Linked DNA regions of Schizosaccharomyces pombe. The gene in region 2 interacts genetically with the main gene of each other region. Each region holds a gene or a part of one and is shown on either strand. Other genes may lie near its edges. The genes, in order: rng2, cdc15, bgs1 and imp2.

What was found.
Region 1: mutations in cdc15 (region 2) and rng2 are lethal when combined (synthetic lethality), as found in Schizosaccharomyces pombe (3 studies listed by BioGRID).
Region 3: of cdc15 (region 2) and bgs1, changing one enhances a phenotype caused by changing the other (phenotypic enhancement), as found in Schizosaccharomyces pombe (4 studies listed by BioGRID, with this or other methods).
Region 4: mutations in cdc15 (region 2) and imp2 are lethal when combined (synthetic lethality), as found in Schizosaccharomyces pombe (5 studies listed by BioGRID, with this or other methods).

Annotation. Positions count from the first base shown.
Region 1 is NC_003424.3:2,642,913-2,651,679, reverse strand, and holds rng2 (IQ motif containing GTPase activating protein), read right to left. Parts: upstream 6,253-8,767; 5' UTR 6,164-6,252; coding exon 1,694-6,163; 3' UTR 1,253-1,693; downstream 1-1,252. Other genes in the region: U5 snRNP complex subunit Spp42, read right to left, coding at 1-942; hcs1 (3-hydroxy-3-methylglutaryl-CoA synthase), read right to left, coding at 6,537-7,820, 7,997-8,056. UniProt on the Schizosaccharomyces pombe protein: Component of the contractile F-actin ring; required for its construction following assembly of F-actin at the division site.
Region 2 is NC_003424.3:1,397,056-1,404,841, forward strand, and holds cdc15 (F-BAR domain protein Cdc15), read right to left. Parts: upstream 5,882-7,786; 5' UTR 5,832-5,881; coding exon 5,751-5,831; intron 5,693-5,750; coding exon 5,601-5,692; intron 5,425-5,600; exon of another isoform or gene 5,410-5,424; coding exon 2,972-5,409; exon of another isoform or gene 2,961-2,971; intron 2,916-2,960; coding exon 2,743-2,915; 3' UTR 2,145-2,742; downstream 1-2,144. Other genes in the region: cir2 (electron transfer flavoprotein-ubiquinone oxidoreductase), read right to left, coding at 1-868; CCR4-Not complex subunit Not1, read left to right, coding at 6,267-7,786. UniProt on the Schizosaccharomyces pombe protein: After the onset of mitosis, forms a ring-like structure which colocalizes with the medial actin ring. Appears to mediate cytoskeletal rearrangements required for cytokinesis. Essential for viability.
Region 3 is NC_003423.3:2,350,715-2,359,931, forward strand, and holds bgs1 (primary septum and spore wall linear 1,3-beta-glucan synthase catalytic subunit Bgs1), read right to left. Parts: upstream 6,651-9,217; 5' UTR 5,530-6,650; coding exon 340-5,529; 3' UTR 208-339; downstream 1-207. Other genes in the region: SPOM_SPBC19G7.04 (protein-DNA covalent cross-linking repair protein), read left to right, coding at 1-52; DNA-binding transcription factor, MADS-box Mbx1, read left to right, coding at 8,715-8,765, 8,833-8,979, 9,131-9,214. UniProt on the Schizosaccharomyces pombe protein: Alternate catalytic subunit of the 1,3-beta-glucan synthase (GS) complex. Synthesizes 1,3-beta-glucan, a major structural component of the fungal cell wall. Required for the assembly of the division septum and maintenance of cell polarity.
Region 4 is NC_003423.3:3,345,962-3,350,952, reverse strand, and holds imp2 (F-BAR domain protein Imp2), read right to left. Parts: upstream 3,054-4,991; 5' UTR 2,973-3,053; coding exon 2,904-2,972; exon of another isoform or gene 2,810-2,903; coding exon 2,718-2,809; exon of another isoform or gene 2,653-2,717; coding exon 980-2,652; exon of another isoform or gene 932-979; coding exon 753-931; 3' UTR 501-752; downstream 1-500. Other genes in the region: protein Ndc80, read right to left, coding at 1-28, 78-105; protein tam11, read left to right, coding at 4,136-4,324; SPOM_SPBC11C11.01 (U2-associated protein), read right to left, coding at 4,665-4,991. UniProt on the Schizosaccharomyces pombe protein: Required for normal septation. Involved in the disassembly of the medial ring during septation.

The DNA.
Region 1 (8,767 bases), 1.2 Mb from region 2:
TTCATTCCAATCTTCCATTTCTGGGGCTTCGTCTTTGTATAAAGGTTCAAATTTCGGACCTCCTGGGATAGCCACGTTCAAAGCTTTAGCCGTAAAGAAACTATTGTCATTAAACAAGTAAAAGTAATTATCATCGCGTAAATCACTCAAAAGTTGGTAACCTAAACGATGTAAATTAGCCATCTGAGGTAAATTAAGCTTCCAACGACGATAGGTTGGACCATTTACATGGGGAGTATCTTCCAAAGCCTTATTTTCGTAAAACCAATCCATAACAGGAGCGTCATCTTCTTCATCTAAGTCCATTCTAATAGCCTCTAACGGCTCTAAATCAAGCAATTGATCAATAGAAAATGGTGGCTCTTCATCGTCAAAAGGAGGAAACCGCAAACGCTTAAAATTTTTTCGATCACGCTTCTCGCGTCTCATCATCATCCACATCGTTCCCCATTGAGCAATAAAATGCGGTTCAATTACGCGAGGACTCTCGTTTACAAAAGTTATAGCACCGGTTACATGATATAAAACCTTGACCTCCCTGTATTCTTCCCAAGGCATTGGCATGTTCTCAAGCAATTTTAGCACAGCATGTGGCAAGTACTTCAAAGCGCCCAAATAGGAACGTTTATCAGCACGAAACTTCCTAGAAGACATATCTCCCCTGTCTTTCATAATTTTGCGCAGGTGCTCAGGCGGAAGATCAGCTTTCTCTGTTTGAACATAACCCTGCTTCCTTTTGACACCAAACTTTGATTTTTGAGAAGCGCGCCATTTGCGTGCTCTTTCGTTAAGTTGCTTTTCAAGATTTCCAGACTGTGCTGGAGTCTTGTTTTTTCTTTTCTTCACATAACCTGGAGGTGGAGGAGGTGGAGGCTGTGAAGGAGGCTCAAATCCAGGCGGAGGAGGCGGTGGAGGAGGATTCCCCGGTGGTAACGACGCCATTTAGGTAATGGTATTTGTCAGCTGAATTGTGGTAGTGAATATTACTTTGTATGGTGGTGACCCTCGCCATTATTTGTGCGTAATATTCTTTTGTGCGTTTTATTTCATATTAGGTCTATGTAGTCTTCTGCTCATAATACGTGTTTAATGTATATTTTTTTACACGCTATACGGGATTTGAAAATTCAAATTTTCTTCGTTAAAATGCAACACGCTTAAGAAGTTTGTCAACCAAACACCTACCCATATCCAAAGGTTAATTTGAACATAATCATGCTCAATCGAATCGCCTTATAAGAATTAGTAAAGATGTATGTATTGACATAAATTACATTTTGTTATAAAAAAGTGTTATTTGTAATTATAAACCTTTAACTAATTCAGAAAGTATAAATTACCAAGTACAACTAGTATGCATAAACCAAAAATTCCTATTCCTTGATTTAGTGTTTCAGGTTCAACGGCTTTAGTTGAAAAAAAAAATTTGAAAAATAACACCGAGTTAAATAAGATTTGTACAGTATAAGTAAACACAAGTAGTGATAAAAAAACCCCCCACACTAAGTGAATGAAATGGGAAAACTGTGCAAATTATCAGAATTAAAGGGGAGAAAATATCACATAGTATACATATTTCGCCAAAAGAATATGGACAAGTATTAATGTGCAAAGATATTTGACGGTTTTAAGTTAATTCGAATTAAATCATTGGGTAGTTAAAGAGACGGAAAAATGAACAAAGTGAAACGTCTCATGAATAAAATTTGGAGAAAATCAAATGTAAGAACATATTGGTGTTTAATTTGAGACGGCCATCCAAAACATCCAAAGTTAAAACCTTGTTATATTGAGCAGACAACAAGTCGTCCAAATGCAATTCACACCTTGGGCTCGAAACTTTAACTGTCGGGCTTGTTGCTTCCAGAATAAATTTGCCAACTTCATCGGCTGATATAGTAATATACAATTTTTCTTTCTGCGGCATATGAGATATTGATACCAAAACTCCTCGGTCATAGAGTTTAAGAGCTGGGTACTTGAACGACCCAAAGCGAGGAACGCGTCCAGATTTTCGGAGATCTCGCATGTGAAAATACTGTTTAGAAAAAGGAATAAGCTTCTTCTTACCCTTCTTTGATTGTAATGTTTCCATAGCTTGTTCAATGTATTCGTTATAACTTTTTAGCTGCGAATCAAGGAAAGCTCTTTTTTCTCGTAAGTTAAGCAAACTTTGATGTCCCGCATCAAGTTCACGCTGTCGTTGCATCCTTCTTCTCGACTTATTACGGATATCTAGAGCGATAGAATTTACCATATCTTGGTAATTATTCCGTCGGTTTGCAAATCCAAGCTTTTCCATTTCCACTATATTGCTTAGTGCAGTGTATTTCAGTTCTGCAAATGACATTGAAAAGATAGAATCATCAAACAAATCATAATTCCTTGCATTCTTTTCAGATTCTTCTGCCAATAAATTTTGCCATGCTGCTTCGTCTGAATCTGTAACCGGTTTGACAAGTATTTCCAAAAGATTAAGGCCATTTTGAATTCGAATAATAAATAATATATATCTCTTTGTCTGAACAATAAGAGTCCGTTCCTGAGCAACGGGATTTTCTATAGTGCAAAATTTGGGATTCAATTCTAGTTTGACGTCAGTTTCATCTTGCACAAAGTCATTGTCTTGCTCTGAAACAGGACCTAAGCTATTGACAACAGCGCGTAATGGATCGTTCACATCAGGAGGAGCAATACTATCTATGACATATGCAATAGATGAATAAATGCCTAAAATATCGTCTCGCTTCATGTATATTACTGGCCGCTTGGTATTAACAAGGTCTTCAAAAGCATCGAACTCAAAGTACACCTCTGGATCAACCACATCGACAAGCCTTTCTAGCATCAACATGGTATCCTGCTTGGACACCTCAATAAACTCGGAGAGTGGTCTAAAAAAACCAAGTTGCTTAGAGTCACAGGACTCGATTGAAAAGATCTCAGACAAAATGCTTGACAATGTGTAAAGGTTTTTTCGTTGAAGAGCTGTAATAGAGCCATCAACCAACTTGAAGTTATCGGGTGACACAAGTACAGGAGCGACATAAGCCCAATAAACAAATTTCCCTATTACGCCAAAAATTTCTTCTTTATGCGCAGCGGGGAAATATCGTTGTAAGCTATTTTTCAATTGTGCTGCAGTATAGCATAAAGCATAAGGAATATTTTCAATATTCTTAGAAAGTGCTACTAGGAATGATTGACACAGTTTTCGAAGTTCACGAAGTCTGCTAACGTATAGATTTCTTGTCGGTGGGTGTTGCATTGCTAACGACAAAGTGAGTTTTGGACTATCAGTTTGACTGGCAACTTCAGGATTGAAACTTTTAAATAGAGTCAACGGATTGATTTCAAAATCCAAATGATTGTCGGCTACTAAAACCTTGTGAATGCGGCCGAGAATAGTTTTCCAAAGCTTCACTTCACGAACGTCCCCACGATATCCAGTGAACAGTAATTTCCAGACACAGTCATCAGAAAGTAGATCCTGAGATGAATTAACTAAAGCTGCTTCTAGCTTAATGACTTGGGAAATGAATCTCAAAAGTAGTACTTCTTCTCGTCGGTTAGAGCCATGGCCGAAAATTTGCAAAACTAAATAAACAGCATGACGGATCTTTACAGAGGAAGTGCCCTCAGTTTTTAGCGCTTGAAAATAATTTGCTAAGTACATTTCGTTGGTTTGTAACACATAGAAAAAACACTGATAAAGTTCCAAAAATTTTCTGCTTGAATTGTTGAGTGACTTCATAGACAGAGTATTAATTTTTAAATATTCAGTGCTTTGCTTTCCAAATTTATACTTGTTGTGATGTTTTAAAACATCATCCAAACTGATTTTGTTTTTAACCAACAAAGCAATCTTCACGTCTAGTTCATTGATGTGAACTTCAATTTCTTCATTGTCTCGTACTTGTTGCACAATTTCTTTTCTCATTTTTTCAAGCAATACTTCTTCCTCAAAGTCGAAATTGGTGTCGTCTAATAAATGAACAAAATTTTTGACCGTCATAACAGGTGGATTTTTGGCCGTAGCAAGTTCTCTATAAGCCAACCCTTCTTGACGACCCCTAAAAATGGACTTCGCAACTATGGGATTCTCCATATTCTTATGAAAATTTTGAAGTTTTCTTGAAAATTTGTTTCGAGATAGATACCCACGAATTAAAGATTGTAACAATACAATTTCAGGAATAAAAGAATCTAACTGAACTTCAGTATAATTCACATCATCTCGTAAAAGAATTGCACGGACTGCAGATTGCATAAACACGATATCTGGTAATCGCTTTAACAAATAGTCGTTACAATAATCAATTTTGGTTCGAGTAATGAATCCCCGATAAAGAGATTGGGCTTTAATGACAGATAGGTGCGATTTTTGAAAAGAATCATAAATGCTTTCCAAGTTTTTTCTTAAAAGAAAAGCCCGAACAATTGCCTGTAGAGCAATGAAAGAGGATGTTGATGCTTTTAATTTCTCCAATTTCTCTTTAAATGCCCGACGAATCATAAATCCTCGAGATAAATTTTGTAGTTTAATAAAATTATCCAGTTCTCCCAGAAGTGATCCATTTAATCTGTTTATAGAATCCCTTATCAAGCGTCCTTTGCAAATAGAGTGAAAAGAAACGGGAAACGATTGTACGGAATCTAGAAAGTTAGACCATTCATTCCGAAACATATTTGCACGCAGTATACTTTGCATCCGGTTAAAGAGAGGGATATAGTTGTAAAGGTTGTCAAGCATATTAACTATTGCATGACGGGTAAGAAATCCTAAAGCTGAGGATTGAATTAACACAAATGATGGTGTAAATAAGTCTAGCCTCTCTATTAACGAGTGGTATTTACGACGATAGAAACCCCCACGAATAATGCTTTGTAACGTTTGGATTGACTTCGTTGCCTCCTCCTGTAAAACCACTTTACGGTATTGTGCACGTATCAGATATGCACGAGAGATGGATTGAATAGAAGTAACCCAGTTTACAAGTTCATCGTATGCTTTCTTTCGTATTCTGTATGTATTTCTAGATATATATCCACGAATTACGGCTTGCAGAAGTACGACAGAAGAACTTTGTTCCACGAGGGATTGTAACATATCCACCAAACGCAAGCGCACAAGTACGCCACGACCACAAGCTTGAATCGCGTTCACGATTTTCTCATCGACAGGGCTACGCTGACTAAGTCCAGAAGTGGTAGAAAATAGTGCCTCCCGTCTTCTTGTGGGTGCTGAAAATGTTGTGAGGAAAGATCGTTGCATATGTCCCTTTTGAGAAGGGGGTTGAAAAAAAGAGTCTTCGAATTCGATTGAATGACTAGGCAAAGTTTGTTTATATGGTTCATTAAATTGTTCTAACGAAGGTGTCGCTGATTTCGTCCTTCTGTGCATCTTAAGGATGTCTGAACGAGCGCTAGCATCTTTCTTCGAAAATTCTAAAGTAGGAGAAGTATAAGGAGACGAATATATAGATGCAGAATCTGATGAATTTAGGGTTTGGAAACGAGCATGCTTGGGAAATCGTGTAGGGGAAGGAGTGCGAGAAGAAACAGGACTAGCACGAAGCATAAAATCGGCACTTAAAGCTTTGAAGTTAGGAAGGATTACATTAGATTGTCGGAGTCTACGGACTATTATTGAAACGTCTTCATCAGTAAAAGATAGATTTTCATCACTCTTGATTAAAGGGGGTGCCAAGTCCTGCATAGAAAGGAAATAAGAAAGGGCATGAATACAATAGATAACTTTGGGTAAATTTTTCCCTTCGTAAATGTCAGTCAGTTCGAAATGAAAAATTTCGGGAAGCCCAATGCCATGGATAAAGTCAAGAAACTTATTAATGTTATCTGAATGGCGAAACTGGAGTTCATTAGAATAGAATATCTTGATTAGTTTATCGGGTTGAAATTTCTGAACCAAGAGAGCCAAGACAACTCCGTTTCGCAGCGACTGCTCAAATGTAGACGTTGGTCCTAGATCTGTGCCGAGGCATTCTTCTATCCATTTTTTTGCTTCATCAACCCTACACAAATAATCATATGCTTGAAGGGTTTCTCTTTGTTTGGCTGCTAAACGAGTGTTCGACCCTTTCGTGCCAACAGGTGCCCCAGCTTGAGATTGAAGTCTAGATAATCCCACATTTACGTCCATTGAGACTTCTGATGACTACCTACTCAGCATTCGATCTCAAACTAGATAAAGTAACTGCACACAATTTTTCGGCTATGTTAGTGGAGAGTAGCTGTTACTCAGACAAAGAAAATGTGGGTTATCAAGATGAGTGGGGGGTTTTTAGGTGTAAGTAGTTTAATTCAAGATACTGTCCGTTAGTGACGAATTTACTCTAATTATTTAGGTTATGCTATTACAAATGAAGGTTATTCATTTTAAGACTACAATACGTATGAGTTTTAAATAATTAACAAAAAAGTTGTCAAAATCACATATTCATGTATCAAAAAAAAGTCTACTAAAAGAGATTTTAACAGTATCTAGTTTGCATTCTAATCTTTTTTTCGGTGATTTAAGGCTTCACCGAATAGCTACGGCGGAACATGTCATCAATACCAGTAAGGTAGTAAGTACCTGAACGAAGACGTTCGATGCTTCCTTTGGGAGTAAAATTCTTTTTCAAGTGTGCTTGATGGCGTAGCTCAATAGCCTCTTCATACTGCGTAGGGGTTAAACAATGACGATTATCCAAATCGTTAACCAAGTTAGTTTTCTTGGCAATTTCAGAGACGTCGCCTTTGACAACGAATGAAAAAAACGAGGCAGCCAAACCAGAACCATAAGAGTAAGCACCGACGCGTTTTCCTTTAAGTTCATCAGCGGGGACACGGCTAAGTAATGCAGTTAAACAAGAGAAAATACTGGCAGTGTACATATTACCACAGTTGGTAGGGGCATAGACACTAGGGGAAACTCGTTTGTTAAAACGCTCTTTAGTTATGGCCATAAGACCTTTTTCTAAAGCCTTGTCGGTAAGGGATTTCTTAGCATCCAGGGTGCTAAGAAGTTCACGGACACCTTCCAACTCGGGATTAGATGGTTCAGCAGCGCTATCGGTGTACAATAAACGCGCATATGCTTTTTGGACTTGTTTGCAAGTAGGAGCGTGGAAAATGCAATAATCAAAACGATCCAATCCAAGTCCTTGACTTTTTCCATTCTTAGCAACATCACGAACATTGTAATTAGCATATGCTCCATCAAGAGCTTTAACATAACATTCAAGAGAAAAATGGCCATCAACGTAAGGGTATTCACTCGTCAAATCGGGTTTGTAAAAATCGTAAGCATGTTGCATGTAAGTACCACGTAGACCAGGTTCAAAAACAATAGGGGCATTAGGACCAACCAAAAGGGCGACACAACCAGCACCACCGGTAGGACGAGCATTGCCCTTGGCATAGAGAGCAATATCACCAGCGACAACTATACCATCACGGCCATCCCAAGCAGAAGACTCAATCCAATCGATTGTGTTAAAAAGAGCGTTCACGCCACCATAACAGGCATTAACACAATCAATACCTTCGACATTGTGGTTATCCCCAAAAAGTTGCATTAAAACACTTTTGACAGACTTAGATTTATCGATGATAGTCTCAGTTCCAACTTCCAAACGACCAATCTTGCTTATATCAATTTGGTATCTCTTGATAAGTTGAGAAAGAGCGGTAAGACCAAAGGAATAAATGTCTTCACGATCGTCGACAAAAGCCATCTTAGTCAAGCCGAGGCCAATAGTATACTTTCCAGTAGAGACTCCATCATGCGCTTCGAGGGCAGCTTGTTCAACATACTATAGGGTAAAAACGATTAATATCAGGTTCTGAAGGAATTTAATGAGAAAGTATTTCTATTACTTTCCTCTGAAGCTTGCGTAAATTTGTACTATTGAAAAAAGATGTAGGTAATGCATGCAAATAATTTGGAGGAGAAGTTTTGAAATAAAGTAGCGACTCATTTATAACATACCTGATTGGGAGTGTACAACACGAGGCCCTTAATACCAATATCTTTTCTATCAAAGGACATTTTCTTGAGTTTCTACAAAGTGTGAGGGTTTTGAAAAAAGATTGCACTAACCTATTTGTGAGGCGACTAAGCGGAAAATTATCGAAGTATCTTGGTTATGGTTAAATGAAACAGATAGCTTTAGTTAGAGCGACAGTGTGTTAACGCGTTGCAACGTATCTTATTGTACGTGTGTTTAGGAATTTTTCTATTTGAGCTATTATAATATTTCAATTAAATTCTGAATCTACGATTAATAAATAAATTATTATTCATAGAAAAATTTATTTATTAGCTGGGAATAGCTTTGTATCATACGTTCACGTTTCTCGTATGATAAGATCGACCAATTCTTGAATATTAAAAGGAATAACATTGCTAACGTTATATTTTCGGCTAACATTTATCTTGCGTTTTATTCTTTTGCAAATAATATACAAATACAAACGGTGGACAAGTGAACAATTCGCTTCTCAATCGTACTTTGTTTCAAATAGAAATTCATAACTGTTTTCTAAAAATTAATTATTTGGCTATGCTGACTGCACTCGTGTATTACTTATACTTAAGAAATTAATAAACCCATAAATATCGCATTTACGAAATTACAAATAGAATTGTTTAAAATAAGTACAGATTAAAGAAGTGAAAAATTTAAGAAGTAATGGTTTTTTATGTTTTACTACTCCGTTTATAACAAGTCCACTTCATATAATAATTTTTCAATTTTAC
Region 2 (7,786 bases):
TTTGAGGTTCACAATTTCCTCGAAGATTAAAACGCTTAATAATAGATTTTGATAGGGAACCGTGAGCACCTTCAGCAAATAAGGTGACAGGTGCGTGAAAAGCCATGCCGCGTTCGAAATTATCTTTGGGCAAACCCTTACTATCGACACCAAAATCATTAGTGGCAACGCCAATAACAGAACCATCTTTGTTGTAGAGGACCTCTGAAGCAGCAAAAGAAGGATATATTTCAACTCCATATTCTTCGGCCTTTGCAGCTAGCCATCTGGTAAATTCTGCTAAACTCATAACATAATTTCCGTGGTTCTTCATGGCTGGAGGGACAGGAATAGGGAAATGCAATTTTGGGATCAGGAACTTCATTTTATCGTGAGTAACAGCAGTACAGTTTTCAGGTGGGTCATCACGCCAATTAGGAAGTAGTTCATCTAAGGCAGTAGGTTGAATTACAGCCCCAGATACGCTGTGGTTACCGGGCTCAGCAGCCTTTTCAAGTACCACGACACGAATGTCTCTGTTGGCTTTGGCAGCTTGTTGCTTGATACGAATGGCAGCACTAAGTCCCGCAGGGCCAGCACCAACAATACACACATCCACATCCTCGACCTCTCGCTCAATAGTATCTAGTTTACGCAAATTATCCGTCAATTCATTAAGTCGAACGGAACTTGAATGAAAATTACGAGCGCCCAGAACGGTGAAATCTTGACGTAAAGTTTGAGAAGAGATTTTTAAAAGAGTACTAGGAGAAGCGAGAGGGAGAACGTGCATCGATCTTCCTCCCCTTCTCCCGATTTTTCTCAATACCCCAGTAAGGTGTTTAGCCCCGACTGACCGAGCGAGTGCAGATCTCGATAAATAAGACATTAATTAGGCACTTTAGCACAATTGCTGAAAAAATTTAAAAGTAATCACTAATACGAACAGAACAAGAAGCTAATATCAAGTACTTTCTCAACAAATGAAAACAATTATCAAATAATACAAAAAAAGATATTACAAAACTAGAAACGAAGGAGCCTTAAGACGAGACAAAAAAAAAAACTATTCACAAACAGACACCCGTTAATACACTTGGAAATCCCGCACCGCTAAAACGAACAAGTGTAGACAGATACAAAACAACAGGAATGAAAGAGAAAGAAAAAAGTTGGATTCTCTCTAATCGGTCAAGCTAGTGGCTATTAATTTGACATGTGTAGTAAAGAAGGAAAAGGAAAAGAAGATGTAAATAAAATAAATAAAGGAACGCAGGACATTCGTCATTTAACCGAGGAAGCCGCTCCTTACCTTTAACAGCGCACCAATTGCATTTCCTGAATTAAACCGAAGGCTACGGATACAGCCAATGAATCGGATCTAAGTAATCTAAAATGTGCGGGAAAACCAATTATCACGGCCGCTATCAATAAAATTGAAGGTTCTGGTGAAAAATTTCGTTATTACATTTATGATATTCTGGTGAATTTGGCAGTAGTTCTATTTATGGCGTTAAATAATTTAACGATAATTAATTTCTCTGTTTTTGACGGCTTTAGAGATACTGTGTAAAATCAGTGTATGTGTCAGTAATACTGCATTACGCTACATATCATTATTCATTCATTCATTCAATTTGCACATCGTGTCATGATAATACGAACATGAGATAGATCTTGCTAACAATACAATAAAATATAAGCTATTAAGAATAATACACGATAAATAGATCCTCGTTCTTCAGTTCTTTCTCAGCGACAAATTACAACAGTACCTACATATAACAATATATATAGCAACTGTTACCTCTATTATTCAAAAGTATCATAGAATAAACAGCTCATAAGCGAAACTCACCGCAGTTCATTGTATCGTTAAAGCAAATAACAAAATCTGTAGCTTTTTCACTAAGTAGGTATGTAAATATAAAGGCACGCATGTGTTTTTGCAAAATCAGGGTCTTATGTCTTTTTATACCTCAATCAATAATCTTATCTGTTCAGGCTAGCGAGACTTCTTTTCAATCAGATCATTTTATAAGCATCTATTCATATCTCCTAACACTCATGTTTACAAGCTAGTTGATGCACACTGTATCTATAGCCAAACAAAAAATCTGGGTTTGCACTCTTCAAACATACCTTATCCACAAATGCATTTTCTGGTAATTATCGGTCGGCTTCTTTTTAAAAAGTAAAGCTCAGAATCCTACATCTGCGGATATCATATTTTTGAGCAGGCAAATTCATCATCGTGTTATATTTTTGGTTTATTCAACTTTATCCTCTAGTTACTGATAAAAATTAGCAATTTAGCTATATCTTGTCAAAGCTACATACCAAATCGTACCTTGATTTTAATTTACTAAAATCGGTTTTGAAATTGATGTAAAAATCATATGAAACTTTGAAATGCACGAAATCTTCAAAAACAATTAGTGTTATTCTTACGTCTTACAATAGCCAAAGGACAAAGGAGTCAAACATTGTTAATAAAATAAAATAAAATATATTCCAATCAACTAGATTCTATGTGTATTTCCTTTAAAACAGAAATCTTTAGATATCAAAATAAATGCGTATAAATACCTATGCAATGCAACGAAGCTTAGACCATGACGAGAAATGAATTTAAAAAAAAAAAGCATGTCGTTTCGCGTTAAGTCATCAAAAAAAAAATAAGGAATTACGGATTAGTAAGAGATAGTAACCACGCGAAAAAGAATGCAAGTGTAAACATCTAGAAAAGAGGGTAATCAGTGTCTATACCGTCTGAACAAAGTTCGACGGGAATAAACCACGTTTTGAATTTGGAACATTAATAATTTCACCATCCCACCATCCATCTTCTTGTGTGCGAAGAACCATTAATGTATCGCCCTTTTGGAAGCTAATTTCTTCAGGTATTTGAGCTTGATAATCATAAAGTGCGATAACTGAATTATAATTAGTAAAATTAAAAATTTTTAAAGTTTCTCTTTAATGAACTTACCATATCCTAAAATTGGCTCTCCTTCAGCCGTAAAAGTAGCTCGTGGATCGACATTCTTTGATTGAACGCTATTTCTATTAGTCGGCTCTGGTGACCGTGCGCGACTGGTGGATCTTTGGGAAACTTGCCTCATGGACCTTCCACTCATAGACCCATATCTGTGACCCATTTCTGAACTTGGTCTCGATCCACTATAACCACCATTGTTTCGGTTTGATGTGTTAGATGAAGTAGATTTCTGTGACTGTAAGACTGATGACGATCTACGATTAGGGCCTAACGGATTGGGAGAAACAGAACGTTGCATAGACAACTGAGGTTGAGATTTGTTGTACTCACCATACAACGACATAGATGAAGATGGCCTTTGTTGACCAGACACTGATTGCCCACGAGCCCTTGTAGAAGGTGCTGGCGAAACGACATCAGATTGGCGTACACTAAGAGAAGATGCAGACCTCTCAAAGCTTGGGCGCAAGGTGGAGCTTCTTCTCGATAACATTGGAGAAGGAGATCTACTCATATTGCTTCGACTATGACGAAGGGATTCTCTAGCTGAATTTTCGGTTCGTTGCTCTCCGAACACCTGCTTTGTTTGGGAAGCAAAACTATTACTCATGCGTTGCATTTGAGCAGAAGTGTGTGCGGCTGGAGGAGCTCCTAAGGTACTCTTTTTGGGAACGCCATCTATATCACTAGCTATAGAAGTATTTCGAGAGTGATAGCCCAAGCCATTTAATCTTGTAGAAGAAGACGTCTTACTAAGAGAAACAGGCGCTTCATCGTCAACTGATGTCGATTGGCGTCTTCTCATTGACGAACTTAATTCAGCCATTGCATTAGCGATGGGATCGGGTACATCTTTGTCTTCTTCTTTGGATGTGGATTCCACTGGTGCCTCTCCAACAGAAAGCATGTTGGGTCCAACGTTTAAAACAACGTTAGCTCTGGGGTCAATATCTTCTAACTCATCAGACTGGACAGACGCGCCTGTGGCATGTTGATTGCTAGCAAATCCTTCTTTAGTAGGTGAGGTACTTCGGCTACCCATATTAGAGAAACTAGAACCCATGAAGGGAGAAGTGGGTCTCCCCATACGCTCCATTATTGATTTTCGTTTGATAGATCCCAAACTAGTTTGAGACCCGTGTCCATGTCGAGAGAAAGACAACCTAGATGACCGACTTCCGGTAGCAGTAGGTTGAAGTTGACTACTCAAAATAATATCATCATTATCTTTCGTGATAGCATTCTCACTATTTTTACCTTCCTTAACTTCGGGTGATATATCTGTTGCAGCGGGTATAGCCTGTACCTCAGTCTCGGCATTATGAGAGGATCTAACATCCATTGAAGTCAAAGGACGAGCAGCTACTTCAAAAGTTGGTGATGTTACAGAAGGTCGACGCATTGAGCTCCCTGTAAGTACTGGTTTCTGGGATTCAGCTTCTTGTATAGAAGGAACGGGAATAGAAAGTTCAACCTCTGTAACTTGTTCAACTTGTTCATTAGACACTGGCTTAACTGGTGAATGCAATGGTGAAGTAGGTGGTGATGATACAACTTCCGATGAAACTGTTTCACTAGTTTTGGGGCGAAAAGCGCTACGTGTTGGCGAACTTGCCAAAGATGCAGAAGCTGAGGGACGCGAAGAGGAGTATGGATAAGAAGGAGCTTTAGAAATGAGCTGGTCGATGTCATAATTTAATCCGTTTTCTTTGAAATAGTCATTAAACTCGGGTAAAGGGGGAATTGTAGTTCCGGTACCTTCGTTTTGAATCATTTGAGTAATATCTTCATCAATGTTAGTGTTTTCGAGTGTGAGTCGAATCTTTTCACAAGATTCATCATCTTTTACACAAGCAGTAGATATTATATTTGCATAGGCCCACATGTTTGTTTTGAGAAACTCTAAACGATATTCCTCAATATGTTGAAAAGCATCACAGACCTCTGTCCAACGATCAATCCATTCCCGAGTAACTGTAAGAAGTAATTCGTTTGTTTCTCTGTATTCCGCATCCATTTTTTTTACTGCTAGCGCTGCTTGACGGATTTTTAAATTGTATTTGTCTAATTCACGACCAGTCATCTTTTTTGTCTGTCTCATGTAGCTATTCAGCTTGTTACAACTGTACTCGTAGGCATCCTTCTTCTCGGATAAGTCTATTTCGAGAGCCGTTTTTTTCTGATATAATTCCTCAATGGCATTGGCTGCAACAACTTTCTGTTGCTCCGTCTGATCAATGTACTCGCGAATTTTATTTCGCAATTCGGTATTTATCTGTTGTGAGACTTCTTCATGCGCTTTGGCCATACTCCCTGTTTCAGTTCTCATAGATAAAATATTATTTAAAGTTGATCCAACTTCTGGGATGTCTGCTGAGCTGGCAGCTAACTCTTGCAGTTTAGATGCGTACTCACGCTCAATAGAAGCACTAATTTAGTTAGTCAGACTTTAATCAATAATCATACCGAACCCTTCGGTTCATTACACAAGCTATCTTAAGAATCCACGATTATCTGTAAAACATCTTAAATGACAATGAAACGACCAAAAACATATTTCTTGAATCATCGTAGCGCTTAAGGTAGAGCTGCAACTTCCAAACGAGGCAACCATACTTACCGCTTTGCGTAAAATTCATCAATTGATTCTAATACGGAAAGAGAAGATTTTGTTCGGGACATAAGAGCATCCATACCCGCATCTTCAGATCCCTGCAACGATTTTGTTAACATAACTTTGCTTTACTAAATACAGCAAATTTACACATACCCAGAAATTATCGCGGAACTTAACAGAAGATTTGGTAACGTACGGAGCCGCTTCAGATTGAGAGACTCCATTAACCTCCATTTTGTTATTGAAAGAACAAAATGCAGCAAAATTTGTGATTTGTTGTTGGTAAATTCCTGGTAGTCGATTTCAGGAAAAGAGTAAACATGTTTGTTTACTGCGACTACTGCGGTGACAACCGTCCCTAGCAACCGTTGCCTATCTGAGTGCACAATAAGCAACTGCAAATTAACTCTATCCTTAAATTTTGTTAAAAAAGTTTACGAAAGATACAGTCTCGTTAAATTTAATGTTCGATCCTTTCTTAGACTGCCTGGCAGTGAGGAGGACCGACATATCTTTTGCAAAACACCACTGCACCTATTTTCATTCAAACTTGCTAGCAGATACTGCTGCATCTCATCTGTAAATATTCAAAGAATATATCAGCTGAAAATAGCATAGGAGTATAATAATAGCCTCACAAAGGCATGGTAATAGAAAAGCGTTAAAAATATGAAGAGCCAAGAACAACAAACGCCGGAGACACGAGAGAAATCTAGTTCAACTTCTGAATCTGGGCATCCTATATCACTAGATTCTAAGACCCCTCCACCAAACGATTCAAAAATTGAAAGTATTGTTAAAGCACAAATCCTTTTCTTATTGTCGACCTTACGGGAAGACCAATATGATACGAAACTTGAACAGATTCGTCAACTTATCAACAAAAATGCACCCAGAGTATACCACCATTTTCTTCGCCGTCTAATTCAAGGAAATTCATACCGTATTTTTGGTACCGGTAAATCTTCTGATGGACTAGCTACTTATAAATTACTACTAGATGAATTAAAATCTCTCACGAAGTCTTGGGTCATGGCGAAACGTTTTAGTGATGCTATTTCAGGTTCTGATTCTGAAGTATTTGAAGATTTCGATATAGAGGCATTTTTAGACCATTTCCAATTCTCCCCGTTAGAAAGGACTAACCTTTTAATTGGACTTACCACTTCTGTTAAACCTACTTTAGCAAAGAAAGCTTCTGCTTTGCTTAAAAACACATTCCAATCTCTTTTAAACCAACTATCCGATCCTACTCAGCAACAAAGTATTGATAAAAACGATTTGGATTTGCTCAGGGAAGGTTTGTTTACCACCGACTATGACAGAATACCCTTGATTAAAGTTCCAAAGTTTGATGCTATAATTGAGAAAAAGTTGGCGAATTCACGCCCTCTTACAGCTTTGTTTGGTCCGATGAAAGCTTCCAAAGCTACACTTAAGTCTATGAAAGAAGCAATTCTTAAAAAATATCCCCCGGGAACGGCTACTGAGACTGATGTTGCTTATCTTATAAATTCACTTGTAGCTATACATGATTATGGTGCTTGGGACACTGTTTTGATGGGTAAAGCTATCGTTTCCTCTTTTGAAAACCTAAATTGGGAAGCTATGCTTTCTATGTTCGATAATCCTAAATTTATGATAACGGGTACACCTAGTCTTGTACTGTTCTTCACAATCTTTACAAATGCTTACAAGTTAAGGCAAACTAATTTTACGTTGGACTTTCTCTGGGTTCTTTGGAGAAATCCTTTACCGCAACTTTCCATCATTTCTCATATTATCCTATCCCCAACATCGATGTTTGATATAAGAGAGTTCAATGTCAATCCTGTAGTTTCTGTTGATAGCTTAAAGGATTATAGCGAAGAGCTTGTTAATTATGCGAAAATATATGAAAAAAGTAATTTAAATTGCATTGAACTTGTCCAAATCCTTTTACGCCTGTTATCTGAGGTAGTCACCTACGAAACTTCACTGTTCTTGAATTTTTTGGATGAGAAAGTTTCTGCCGAGCTTTTGCTTTTGGGTACGCTGCAGCTCCCTTTGGCATGGAATCCTGTTCAAGAGTCATTAGCGTTTCAATGGTGTTCAGACTTTTTTTCCAATTTCAAAGAACATAAATTTGTCTTCGTTAGGATTGAACGAACAAACCCTCAATTTTTGTTCGCCTTTTTACGCAGTTTGTG
Region 3 (9,217 bases), on a different chromosome or scaffold from region 2:
TAAACAAAACGTTTCAAAATCCGTTAGCCTTATCTCTTCAAGCGATTTGTAAATGTGAACGTAATAACATAATCAATATCACATTACGGGCAGACGGTGCACCAATAATTTTTTCTCATGTAACAGACATTAAGTTTGTGTTTGCTCTAACCATCAATCGTTCTTCATTACTTATTTAGATAATATATTCTCAAGTACTAGATACTTAATCAACACTCAAGTCATTTTTTATTTAACAAAATGCAAATATAATAATTATTATTTACCCTAATTGAGAGCATTTCTAATGAGAAATAAGCATCCACATCACACAAATCCTTTAAAAAAAAATAAAATGCTTTAGACAGAAGAATTCTTTGTTGAAGAATAAACAATCTTTGTCGCTGGCTGAATCAGATTAAATTTATCCATTGAAGTTCCAGCAGCTGATTTACCAAACACAAAAGGCAAAATTAAAAGAACAAAAAAGGCAATAAACAATGAAAAGTACAAAGTGGCATAGCGAAGAACTATTTGACGACGAAGTTTGTTTTGTCTTATGGTATAAATTGGGGGTCGAATTTGTCTGCTGGGCACAAGCCAGAATAATATGATCGAGTGAAGTTTGTCGATATAAGGAATCAAAATAACAGGCGCTTGCAAAAACAACAAAAGATGACTTAAAAGGAAATCACCAGCAAACATATTCAACTCTGTAGTTTTACACACAAATTCTCTCCATGGTTGCGTTAAAACCATATATCCAAAACCTTGGCCATTCCAACGTCCAGACCACCAAGCTAAATTGGCACCATCATGACGAAATTCTCGAGACAGGAAACATATGATAAAAAATTTATGAGCAAACCTGTGAATTGAAATGATTGCTACAAATCCAAGTAAAGTTTTTGAAAATGACCAACCTTCCAAATAGCCCAATACTTCAAAGACAACAACATCAACACACACAAAAAGGAAATGGGCCACTCCAGCCAAATATACACCATACGTTTTAGATCTATCGCCGAGAATAGGACGTAACATGATTCCTAAACAGAAAAAGAAAAAAGCAATAATTGCACTTAAAACCAAAGGAGCAACTGACATAATAATCAAGCGAATAAAAGCATTAGTAGATTGGGTCTCATCATCGTTACCAGGTTGGGAATTGATAAAGAGAAATGGAATACACGTGAAAAATAGTGTTCCTAGAGGCCCTAATATTTCACCATAAAACATTGTAGTAATTCTCGCACGCGGGGAATCCATAGCAATTTTATCTGCCTTCTTACCATATATTTTACGTTTATACCCAGTTACTCTGGTACGGCAAAGTTGACAGTTGCCAATCCATGAATTTGCTTGATTGCGTGAATTTTCGCGGAATAGCCAGCGCATAAACTCACGATAATCAACAAAGAAATCGGTCCAGGCGAATTGATGGGGATTGTAAAGGAATGGACTAATGCAAAGAGCAGTCAGCGTAATCCAAAAGTAAATATAATGCGGCAACCAAGCAGTAATTGAACCAAACAATAACATGTACATAAGTCGTGACCCAAAATAAAGTGATGGTCCAGAGAATCGAGAATACAATAGTGAGAACGGCACACGAACAGTAGCAAAACCTCTGCTAGTACCAATATAGCGTGCACCACCAAACGTAAGATTTGCAATTAAACTCTGCGCATATATTTGGCATGTGAAAATTTCAAAAATAGGAGATAGAGAGAATATTTGTTTCGCTAAACGAATAACCATTCGGATGGCACCGCGTTCCCCTAATTCACAAACAGCAAGTGGAACAAAAGCAATACCAAAGACAATGAAAATAGACAAAATACAACGCTTCAACCACTCGAGAACTGGTTTTAATTGATAACAACCTTCAGGGTACAAAGAAGCTGTCAAGGAGTCAAATTGGCGGTATCTACAAACCGGAACAACAGTGTACATTGCTCCCAAATTAATAATAACAAGCATCAATAACTGTAAAGAAAACATGATGACCATGTTATTGACGTGAAATCCAGCGTGGGCATAGAAAAATGACAAAAACCTATCAAACGGTAATTGTGTGCCAAGGTTGAAATATTCTCTTGAAAGCATTTGTTCCGCCATACCCGTTCCAATTTTCGTAGTAAAGTTAAGAATTGAGCCAAAACCCAAGTCACGACCCTTACCACATTGATAGTAATCACAATGCTTAATACGTCCTCCACGTTGAAGAGCAATCATACCTGCATAAATATCTTCATTAACATGCAGACCTTTTTGTGCTTTTGAAACGCCGCCACGAGTAATCATAAACAAAACATTAATAAAATCAGGATGTCCGTAATGCAATTTTCCACCAATCAACGATAAAATACGAGCGAAAAGAGTACCAAATGTTTGTTCCTTTCCAGCAGCTACATCTCCAAGCATACCTGTATTTTCTGAAAAAATGTATTCTCTAGCACCGAGAATAGCTACGGGATGATTGTCAGCAGCTTTGGCATTTACCGAGTAAGGGCTATGTAAGGGAGGAGTAAGTTGCTCAAATTCAGCAAGAATGCTACGAATCTTTAGACATTCTTCCAAATAATTATCCTGGTTGGCATCGATCATTTGTACATATTCACCTCTAATGTAAGGAATAGACATATTTTGATTATCAGATTTACCGTCACCCAAAATTGGGTTACCAGATAGACGAATACGATATTTGGGTCGACGCTTTCCATTTTCCATAATGGGGCAATGACCGTCAATCAGTACAGAATAAAGATGGCGCTCGTCATTATGTCGAGATTGAGGATCTTCATCCATATATGCAATTTGCAAGTCTGGATACGCTCTTAATAAAAATTCTGCATTTTCGGCTTCTTCTTTGGTAAACTTAGCATACCGCTGCATGGAGACACAGAATCGGAACTTCCTGTTTGCCATTAAATCCAATTCTTCATCTAATCGCACAGGGTCACCATTTGTCCATTCGACCAATTCTGGTGTTTCCGTTCTGTATAACAGTTTGATGGCACGACTATAGTTACTGAAACCGTTGATAGTGCGATACAAAGTTTGAGTTCTCAGAGAGGCCCAAATTCTTGTTCTCAAAGTATACTCCGGAGTCGCAGATTTAAATCCAACACAATAGAAAGGAAGGTCATATGCTTTATTTACTCCATTTTTTTCATTGTCGATACTGCCAATAACAGAATCATTTTCATCAGCAAGTAATTTTGTATCATCAACAAAATTTCTCCACTCCACAGGATATAGCTGCTTCAAGTACTCTAATAGAGTTACGCGAGAAAGTTGATCTTCCTCGCGAATAATCTCTCTTAAAGATAACAAAATTTTCTCAGAATAGTGAGGAACCAAAACAGTGAAGGTAGGCATGGCATCAATGGAACTAGTCTTGGGTATTGATTCAGCCAAGGATTGTGCGAAAAAGGAGATTCTTCGAGCAGCTTCTGAATTAGCCGGAAACAAATCTTGCTTATAATGCTTAACCTGTTGGGAGTAGAAAAAGTTGGGAGCTCTAAGAGTATGATAGCCTGCCTTTTCAGAAGGTACTTGATGGTACAACAACTCCTGAATTTGGGTACGGGAAATCAAATGCTCCCTGTACATCGAGATAATAATGGCATTCCAAACTTGAGAAATAAGTACTTTTGGCTTGAAGACAATCTCCATGTCATCGGTATACAACAGTTTTGTATATATTCTTCTGGGAACGCGGTAAAACAATTCTCTCCAAGGAGTCCACACACTGATACCCAGGCAAAAAGCATAAGCCAAAGAATAGATAGTGCTGATAAGAATGTACCATAGATAAGTATCAAGGAAAAACAGAGAAAGATCAGTTAAATACAGTAAACTCAAGAGAATTTTAGGCTGAGCCTTGCATAGTCCAGCTCCTAAAATGTAATCACGGCAGTCATAAGGTCGCATAGCACCCAAAAATCTGATAGAATCTGCCAAATTCAAAGTTAAAAAGAAATAAGATTCCAAGAATTTGGCCACCAAAACTGTAATCCAAAGACACCAAGAAACGAAAGCACCTGTTTTTGAGGTCGGAGTGAAATTGGCGGTGAAAAATCTGTTAGCAAGGTTTTTTCCAGACCTTTTTGTGGTGAAACCAACCAAATTTCGTAACGGCGTAATCGAATAGTAAACTACACAGACCAACGAGAAAAAGAAATGCACAATTCCTACAACCAATCGAGAAGCATAATGCTGCTCTTTCGTAGACGAAGCAAATATGAAAACAACAGGTGCGATGTTTAGAAGTAGCGTACTTATCAATAACAGCATACTCGGCCACAACCTTCTGGCAGAATGATAACGACGAGGAACATGTATATATTCGAAAACCACAGCTGCCAAGGTGATAAAAGAAGCTATAGCACCAGCTAAACCACAAGCTGTCCAACGACAAGAAGCAGGAGGTTTATTATTCAAGCGGATGTGATAATTTTTGGTGTACAAATTTGGGGAATTATAAGCCGAATAATACCAGTAAGCAGATATATGCATTACCCAAATACGTGAGAAATTGGTAACGTTATGGAACCAAGAACGATACTCGTAATAGGACTTATAAAAACATGATTTCCATTCAACATCGGAAAGATGTCGATATCGCATAAACGGTGGTAAATCTAACAACGGAGTTTTATCAGCACACATGATTTCCTGAAGGCCCTTGTAGGACCAAAACAATTGATTAATATCATCATAGCCAATGATTTGAGAATGATCTCTTTCTCGTCTGACGTATTTGCCGTCCAAAATTTCAAACAGCTGTGCATGAATAAATCGATAAATAGGGGTGATAACCGAGTCTAAATAAAATTCCTTGGGCAAAGCAGCATCGACATCTTTAGCTTCCGAAGAGATATAATAATCATAAGCACATTCAAATATAAAACAAAGACACTCGGGAACAAAACGAACATTGTTAGCTTCACCCCAGCAAAGAAAATAAAGGCACACCTGCACCATCATGCGATGGGGTGAAAATGCTGCCATTTGATCTCTCCATGCCTGTTCAGCTTCTTTCAAAGTCATTGTTTCGACAATTGGGGAAGACATATCGTGAAATCCAATGGCATGACCGTCATTAAAATGAGAAGCAAAGTACCACTTTGAAAAATTTGCATGTTCACCACCAATGACATCGGCATGGATAGTAAGCAGTGCCGAGGAAGGAGACATACGAGATGCCCGAGAATCTAAAAGAACCATAACATAATCAAAAATGTTACGCATGTTATCTTTTTGAAAACCAAGTTTATTTGTAAGGTCCAACAAGATCTCTTGAACACCTTCCATAGTAACAGGAGCCTCTTCACCAGCTTGATTCCAAGCCGGATAAGCAACTGAACTGGAATCGACATTAAATGAAGAGCTATCATAATCAGAATGTAATGCATCACGAGAAGAGTTTTTATCGTAAATCATACGGGTCAGAGAGCTCATAGTATCATCGTCAGAGACATAACTATTGGCATCATCTTCAAAGAGTCCACGACCCTCTTGTTCACGCCAATACTGATCCATGATGAATAAATAGACTCAAAAGAAGGAGAGAGGACAAATTTTAATGCTTAAATTAAGAAGAATTGAAAGAAAGAAAAGTTGGAATTTGTGAGAAAGAATGCTAGCAAATGAGGAACGATGTTCAAAAGAAAGAAATAAATTTAAGAGACCTTGAAAAAAAGATTAAAAAGAAAGAAGTTAAGCCTTGGAAAATGGGGGCAAAAGAGTAGAAGAGAAAAAAATTTGTGCTGATTGAAATGAAAAAAGTAAAAGACTTTTTCAAATCCTAAAAAGAAGAAAAAAGGGTGATATATGTATGCCGGATGAGAGAAGACGGCGGAAAAAGCTCTAAAAGTAGGAAAAAGGGTGGGATCACGAAGTGAAAGAGTAGTTAAGATATCGGAGGTTCAAAAGGGAATGAACGGAACCTAAAAATACAGTATGCAAATTATAAAAAAAGAGGCGAAAAAAAAGAAGAAATAATTATAAAAACAACAATAATAATACCATAAAACAGCAAGCACCAAAAGAAGTACTTACAAATGCACACCTAGGAAACTGACCAAATTTTTAAAAAAGCGATTCAAGGAAGGACGTTTTTTTAAAAGAAAAGGAGAAAATATAAAATCGCTTTCCACATAAACTTTAGATTGAACAATTAAATTGTCGTATGCAGAAGCTTATTTACAATCTCTCAAAGCGAAAAAAAAGTAAATGGAGATGGGAAAATGGAAGGAAAAGAGAAGCGAAAGGGTAAGAGGAACCCGGGACAAACGCCAAACGTCCACACAAACACAATGCTACGACAAAAGGTGATCTTGCACACACCGAAAACTTAGCAGTGATGGAGCAACTAACGTAAAGATAATATCACACAAGAAAACTTGGCAAATGTTAAGATGGAGTCAACCTTTTTGTATGGAGGCTAATAGGAAAAAAGAGAGGAAAAAGAAAAGAAGGAACCAATGATAGATATATAAGAAGGAAGAAAAAATTAATTCCGTGCAACAGAATCAAAAATTTGACGTTAAAAAGGATAATTTACTCTAATTAATCAATATATTTTCAAAAATTTTAGAGTAATTCCACTAAGAGAACGGTGAAAATAGCCAAAACCCACCAGTTCCTAGTTTGTTGTCTGCAAGTTGTACTCATTCCGGTTCTTTCAAAACTAACAGCGAAATGGGGAAGGGTAGTGCACATTATTGAGGCCTATTTTAGTGTAAGCAATTTAGAGGCTGGCGTGGTAGGAGGCTCAGGTTACTCACCAACGAGGCACAAGGAGGCTTAAAAAACCATCCCCATACAAAGCAAAGCCATAGCCGGTCAAACAAAGAAAGAATTTATAAGCAGCTACTGTGTAGCATCTTATCAATCGTTATACCCAGCTACCGTTTTAGATGGATACTTTTAACCAAACTAAGGACGCTATATTTGAATTGGAAAAGAAGTAAACAAACTACAAAAAGTCAAGAAAGTGTAGCTGAAACCATAATTCAGTTACAGTGAACATAAGCGACGAGTGTTCTTTTTTTTTGGAATTGTTAAACTAATTTCTAATATGTGATTGTCTACATGGGTGGTAAACAATAGTAAAAATAATACAAAGCTAGAAGGTACCGAATCCCAATTAGCAAAGGTATGATTATTACAGTATAGAGCTTATGAAGAGAACTAGGCATTGGGCTTTTTTCGCAAATCCCGAAAATTGGGAAAATCATAGACGCACAATGTCTGGGTATTGAATGCGTGGGAAAAGTACGGATTTGAATGCTAACAAATCTGGTTAGGATCTAAAGAAGATGAAAAGACAACCGAGTACGAATTTAAAAGCAATTGGTTAATCCAAAGGAAGAAACAATGTGCCGGCATTGGAAAAGGTTTCCATTCCATATTCTGGTTAAGACTTGGATTGGGCAATTTCCCTTACGAATACCCCAAAAACAAACACATCCTGTAAATATTTTTATCTATCAATCGACTATTACAGCGATATTCTTTTAAATCTTTGATGACTATTTAGTTGTCACACTTAAACAACTTCTTACAATCATTTGACTACAACTATTTCTATTGTCGCACCTTCTGCTCTTTTCATTTTCTCCATTTCATTAATTCCTATATTTTCTACTTCTCTAGTTTGTTTTACTTCTTTACACTACCTTATTAGATAAATAATCTAGCACCCTAGCCTTTCTTATCATCTTAACCCCCTGTAGCGAGACTTTTTTCGTCCGGTACCTTACAGGGCTTGGGTGGGCTTTATAGAAAGGCTCAGTACATTTACCACGAGATTTTGAAAAGGATAAATCCAGCGTTTTTTCCTACAAACTATACGTTCCTGATACGCTGTATACGCTTCTTTTTCATCCAAATTTCACATTTTTTATATTTTGGTTCAAGTCTGGGGTTGATTTAAGAAAAATTTTTTTCCGTACTGCCTATTCAGTGTTTCTATTTATATTCAAAGGTGAAATTTTTTGTCTCCGCAAACTTTACATTGCCGTTATTGTCGCTTTGTTTACATTTTGAAAGTCTCAAATTGAATATTTTGAATTTCATCCTTGGCTTTTTTTTATTTGGTTTCCATTTATTTTGGTGATCGGCTTCCTTATTTTTTTTTGCACATTTAGTATTGGGTTAGACTTCAAGTCATAGGAGCCGATTGAATGATATCCTAATATTTGCCTGCTTTTTTAAAATTCTTCCAAAGTTATCTCTTTTTTCTACATTAAAAGGTTTTTTCATTCGTCTACCCAAAACGTTAACGACATTTTCCTTGTATTCTTATCCCTTTAGATTATATCCCATTTTGGTACCCATTACTGTTTTGCTGCATTTCAAGTCAAGCTGATACATTCAAGTGAATCTAGCGGATAATCATATTTTGTATTTCAACCTTTAAGTTTTGCACTTCCTTGCATGCGTCTTTGCCTTCCCTTAATTTTGATTTTTATTACACTGTCAATAATCACGAAACAAGAATATAAGAATAGTCGAAACTCTCACTTTCTTTGCGCCCTTTTTTCCTTCTCCCTTTTCTCCTAATTTTTATTTCTAGACTTCACTGAATTTCCTCGGTTGATTTAGTCAATTGGTTTAATTTTTAATCCTTTTTTTGTTGTTTTTTTACTATTTTGGTTCTTAATTGTCGCTCTTTTTCTACTTCTTATTTATATTATTACCTAAATATTTGGACTCTAACTATGGATATTAATCCTCCTCCTAGTACTGCTCCTTCATCTCCTCGCCGTTCTGTATGTGCTACATAGTGGTTTGGTTCCATTCATACACCCCTTTTCTCCTCGCTAACGTACCATTTAGATACAGCGTATTTCCGATGCAAAAAATAAGGCTCTTACTTTTAATCGTCGACGACTTGGCTTGATAAAAAAAGCACATGAACTCTCCGTTTTGTGTGATGCTAAAGTGGTGGTCATGATTTTTGATTCTAAAAATGCTTGTCACGTTGTATGTTTCATATTTCCCGTTTTTCTGATCCTTTTCTGTCATATCCTTTCAATGTAAAGTGAATACATTATAGGGAAGGTGATGAAGGTCAACAACCAGAAAACGTGGCAATGTTTTTACAAGTTTTTAATATTAACATACACCTCTTTAGTATTCTTCTGAGGAACCGGAAGAGCAAAGAGATGCCTTGCTGCAAAAATTCCTGAACAAGGACTTTGTCACGGTTGACCCTCTGGTA
Region 4 (4,991 bases), on a different chromosome or scaffold from region 2:
TTAGATGAAGAAGGTGCCTGTGAATACCCTAAACTTATTGTTAACTTATTAGTCAAAAGAAAAAAAAGAAAACATACGCCTCGCGTAAGAGGAAGAATCTTGCATTTATAGTAATACAAGCAGATTGTTGTCTTTTATCGTTGGAGACGTTAGTTATAACAACAAAACCACTTTGCTAAGTAACAAAAATAACAGTGAATAGCGATTTCCAATATAGAACCGCAAAAATTTATAGTGAATCGCTTTGCAACTTAAAAAAGATATCGACAACGGCAGGATTCGAACCTGCGCTCCCAAAGGGAATCCGCTGGGCTACAGAATAGCAGGCGAACGCCTTAAAACCACTCGGCCACGTTGTCACAGCTTACTAGGAAATAGTAATTAGTTATACATGAAGCTATTATAGACCTGTGTGTTAACTTAGATTGGTAAAGATTTGATGTTTTTTAAGTTATTACAGAATTTTAGAAGCAAACGAGAATTACTAGAAATATTTAGGTAGAAAATGGTGCAATGAATGACAATAATTCAATCATTTTGAACATAATGCTATATATAACAATCGGTATCATTTTAATCTGCAAAATTCATAAAGATTTATAAGATAATAATCTTATAATGTAGATAACTTAACTAAACGTGTAGCATTCTAAATATCCTATAATGTAAAACAACCAAAATTAGAAATCTAGTATTTTAGATTTAAATGAGAATGAGAAAAGATGAGAAAATGCGAAACTATAATACGAAAGCTAAACCTCGATTTCACGAACAAAATTTGACGGAAATTGCCCACGGTTATGGTCATCCTCTCCAACGACAAATCCCTCCCACCAGCCGTCTTCATAAAGCTTAAGAACTGCAATGGTATCTCCCTTCCTGAAGCTTATCTCTTCGGGTATTGCAGCATCATAATCATATAAAGCAGATACTAAATTCAAGTTAGTAATTGTAATAGCGATGGACAGATTAGACATACCATAACCAAGAATACGTTGACCATCTGTACTTGTTGGATTATCAATACTGGTGTCACCGCCGTCTGTAGGATATGCAGGTAAAGAAAGTCGGTTAGACGTGTTTCCAGTAGCTTTTGTATTTATTGTATCATCAACAAAGGAAGAGTCCCGATCAGTATAAGGCTCGTCATCGGTAGGTGCAGTACCACTTGCTGGATCAACTCGAACACCGAAATCATAATTTGGCTCTAAATTTCCTGGTGTTAAGGAACGAGGAAGTCGGCTGGCATTCTGAGAAAGGGAAGAGGAAGGACGTTTTGGTGACCTACTTTTCCTCAATGTGAATGAACTTCGAGATCCATTCTTTCTTGAATCATAAACGGGTGAAACCGCACGATTCTCCATTTGTAGTACACTACCAAATTCTTCCTGAATTTGTTGACGCCGTGATGGAGTGTTAACATTTGGGCGGGAGTCCTCGGTGAAAGAAACAGAATTAGGACTTGGTAGAGAACCAAGTTCGTTATACCTTGGTGGTAGTGTATTAGAGTTAGGGAAGGCACCAGGAGCAGCAGGCGTAGGATTCTGTTTTGGCTCTTCTTGTAAAGAAAGATGCTTCATCTGTTCATCAGCCGCTGAAGTTAAAGGAGAGTCATTTCTCGGACTTGATAATGCATCCGGAGCCGTATTACCAACGTTTGGAGTCGAAGGACGACTCGTTAATTTAAACTTACTCAAAAAGCTTTTCTTTGGAGAGCTTCTACCATTTTGGGAAGAGTTAGAAGAAACAGTGGTAAGCGATTGAATTGCACTAGGAGTATTAGGAAGGGTATTTTCGAAGGACGACTCATTACGAGCGGTGGCAGAAAGGACGTATGGACGATTCAATGGCATGTTGTCATTTTCTATTTTGGTTTGGGCCCGCTGAAAATTAGCCTGAACCAACTCTACAGAATCATCGGGAACCTCGCCCTTATAATAGTCATAAAATTTTGGAGGTTGAGGAATTCCCGTTCCTGTAGATTTTGCGTCAATAAATTCCAAAACATCCTGAGAGACACTGCACTGTTCAAGATTTTTGCGAATTCGTTCACATGCTTGATCATCATTAAAGCAACTACGAGAGATAAGTAGTGTAAATGTCCACATGACGCTTTTCAGGAAATGTCTTCTTTCTTCTTCAATGTCCTGAAGTTTGTCACAGGTTGACCGCCATTCGTTGGTCCAACGAGCGTATGAATCTCTGACAGCTGCTACAGCTGATTGATAGTCAGAAGAACTAGCAGTGATAGCATTCTGAGTCTTGTTTAATTTCGCATTGTTCTTCTCTAGCTCCTTTCCGAAAAGCATGTTTTGCTGAGAAACATAGTAATTTACTTTCTTGCACAAGTAATGGTATTTGTCTTGAGCTTTAACAAGAGCTTGATGCTTGGAGAGTTTATCCTTATGAACTTTTTCTATCCCCGAAACGATCATCTTTTTCTTGTCCTTTAAAGAGGCAGCGTACCGCGTAAACGCATTTTCGACATCATCCTGAAGCAACTGAGAAATCTGCAAATGAGACTTTGCCATATTGTCAACTTCAGCTTTCATAACTTGGACTGATTCTTTGAGGCAACCAGTTTCCAAAGAACTGAAGGTTGTTCGAGACAACTTTGCCATTCGCTTGGCATAATCTTCTTCAATGTTCGCTCTAAGGTTGAAGTTAGAATAAACGATCATAGCATGTTAAACCCTGCTTCACCTCAAATTTCTCACCTTTCATGATAAAACGACCGAAGCTCTTCATTAATGTGTTTCACATCGCTAAAACGCGAAAGTAAAGCATGATAACCCTCATCATTTGCACCCTAATAAAGAATGTTAGTTAAGGTGTTGTGTTTAACACAAAAATCGAAAGTTTTGGCAGATAATGAGCTATCCACGTTGGCTTAGACACCATACCCAAAAGTAATTTGAAAAACTTTTATCAGGCTTTGCTGAAGATGCATTAAAGCTTAATTGTTGAGACATGTAAACGGAAAAAAACACGAATTAAGAGATTTTTCAATCTCGCCTTTATGGCAGTATTCTTTATTCGTATATGGTGGTGGTGTTGATTGTAAATGAAACTAACAACGAGGTAAACAAACGGCAACGCGTTGCCAGGTGCAGCTTTTCATGTCAACAATTAACAAATTTATCAAGAAAACCGATGTAATGAAGATTTTTCAGCCTTAAACTATCAAAAAAAAGCAATAGAATATTGCAGTGGAAAGATAAAAAGCCTTCAAATGCTGAGATATATATGGTGAACAATTGATTCATTCAAAGTCCACTTTATTCATCCTTGAGACTCTATAATTGTTATCTCTGTTAAGCGCACAAGTTTTGCTCACTATTTTGTATTGATTATGTGTGAATACTGTGATTTGAGAAGCGACCCAAGGCAGTCCTGAAAAAAAATACTTACCATAAACTCCGGTAAGCGAACTTATAGACTTAGACATTATGCTAATAAAACAATGATTTAGCATGTATGTATTTGCAGACTTCACGTTCTGTATAGCTATCTCCCGTCTCAAATCGTTTTACTATGTAAAATATTAAATTTTTGAATGGAATGCAACATGCTATTAATCAAAAACTTAATATACTATGCAAGCGGTTCAGGCGTACTGAAAAGTAATATTTTTTAGATAGCTCGATTTGTACCTGCAGCATCATTCGATGTGAATAAAAAATCGTATAATAATTTGTTTACTTAGTGAAATACACTAATCGAAAAAATAAATAAACACTAAAAAAAACATAAATACAACGTTTATGTGAGTCAAATAGATTAAACATATTCATTTATCAGGTACATACAAAACGCCCTTGTAATTCTCGGTTTTTCTTCCAATTTCCATTATTTTCAATCTTATTTTTTATTTCACGAGATCGCATTTCTTAATAACCCGACTTACGTCATGGGTTGGCGGTAGGGACGCTGATATGTTTACTATATATACAGCAGCCGCCCGGCTTCGGCGGTTTATTCTTTAACAAAACAACTGGTGATAAATACTCATTCTATCACACTTAAACACTAGGTGAGATTAAAGTTATTAATTGCTTTTGTCCCTATACATTTGCGAAGTTTTGATAATACGACCAACCTTGAATTTTTTGTACATCCTCTGAAATTATAAATAATGGAACGCGAAGGTAAAGAAGACGTTCGTAAAGCCGACCACAAGATTGTTTATGGTATTGAACGTGTGCGACATGGAATTAACAACTTTTTTGATGACGTTGGAAAAGCAGTAAAGTCGGAAAGCGATACTGCCGACTCCAAGAGAAGTGCTGAGGCGAAAGCCGATGAAGCCCCTGCTAAAATGTAGTGTCTAAAATTACAAGTACTTATACTCACTTTTAAAACATGATCCTCCAACTTTTTGTGATGCTGAACTTTACGATCTTAGCCATGCATGGCGAAAACTGTTTATATATCGAATTGATAAAGCCAGTTTGCACAGCAGCAATAGCATTCTTCGTCTATAAGTTATTCAATACAATGCTTGATGAAAGAGAAAACAAAAATCGTTGTCATTAAAGTATAATAGTATTACGGGTAGTTAAAAATGGATAAATTTAACATCAGTCATACCTTGTTTATATGAAAAGCGATATTCTAAATTGTAGAAGTGTAGTTCTTTTTTATCAATTGCATTCTTCTATTTTCTAGAATAAATCCTCCGCATGCATACGCATGCGCTTTGAGACGAATGTGCCTTGAGTAAAACTGGGTTTGAACTTTGCTTTCCGTTCCTCCGTAGGCTGCGGGCTTGAACTGGAGCTTGTTTCCGTACTCATTGGTATTTGCGATATGAATTCTACGTTTAACAATTCGTTTACATCGACAGGAATACCATTATACTCTTCGTCATCTTGAAGTCCTTCAGTCTCTTCAGAAATTGCTGTCCAGCTATTCTTTGTTTCCACTTTCAAAGCAGCAGAATTTATTTGTGGTGATTGAGGGGTATTTCCCGAAAAATTTCTCCATGCACG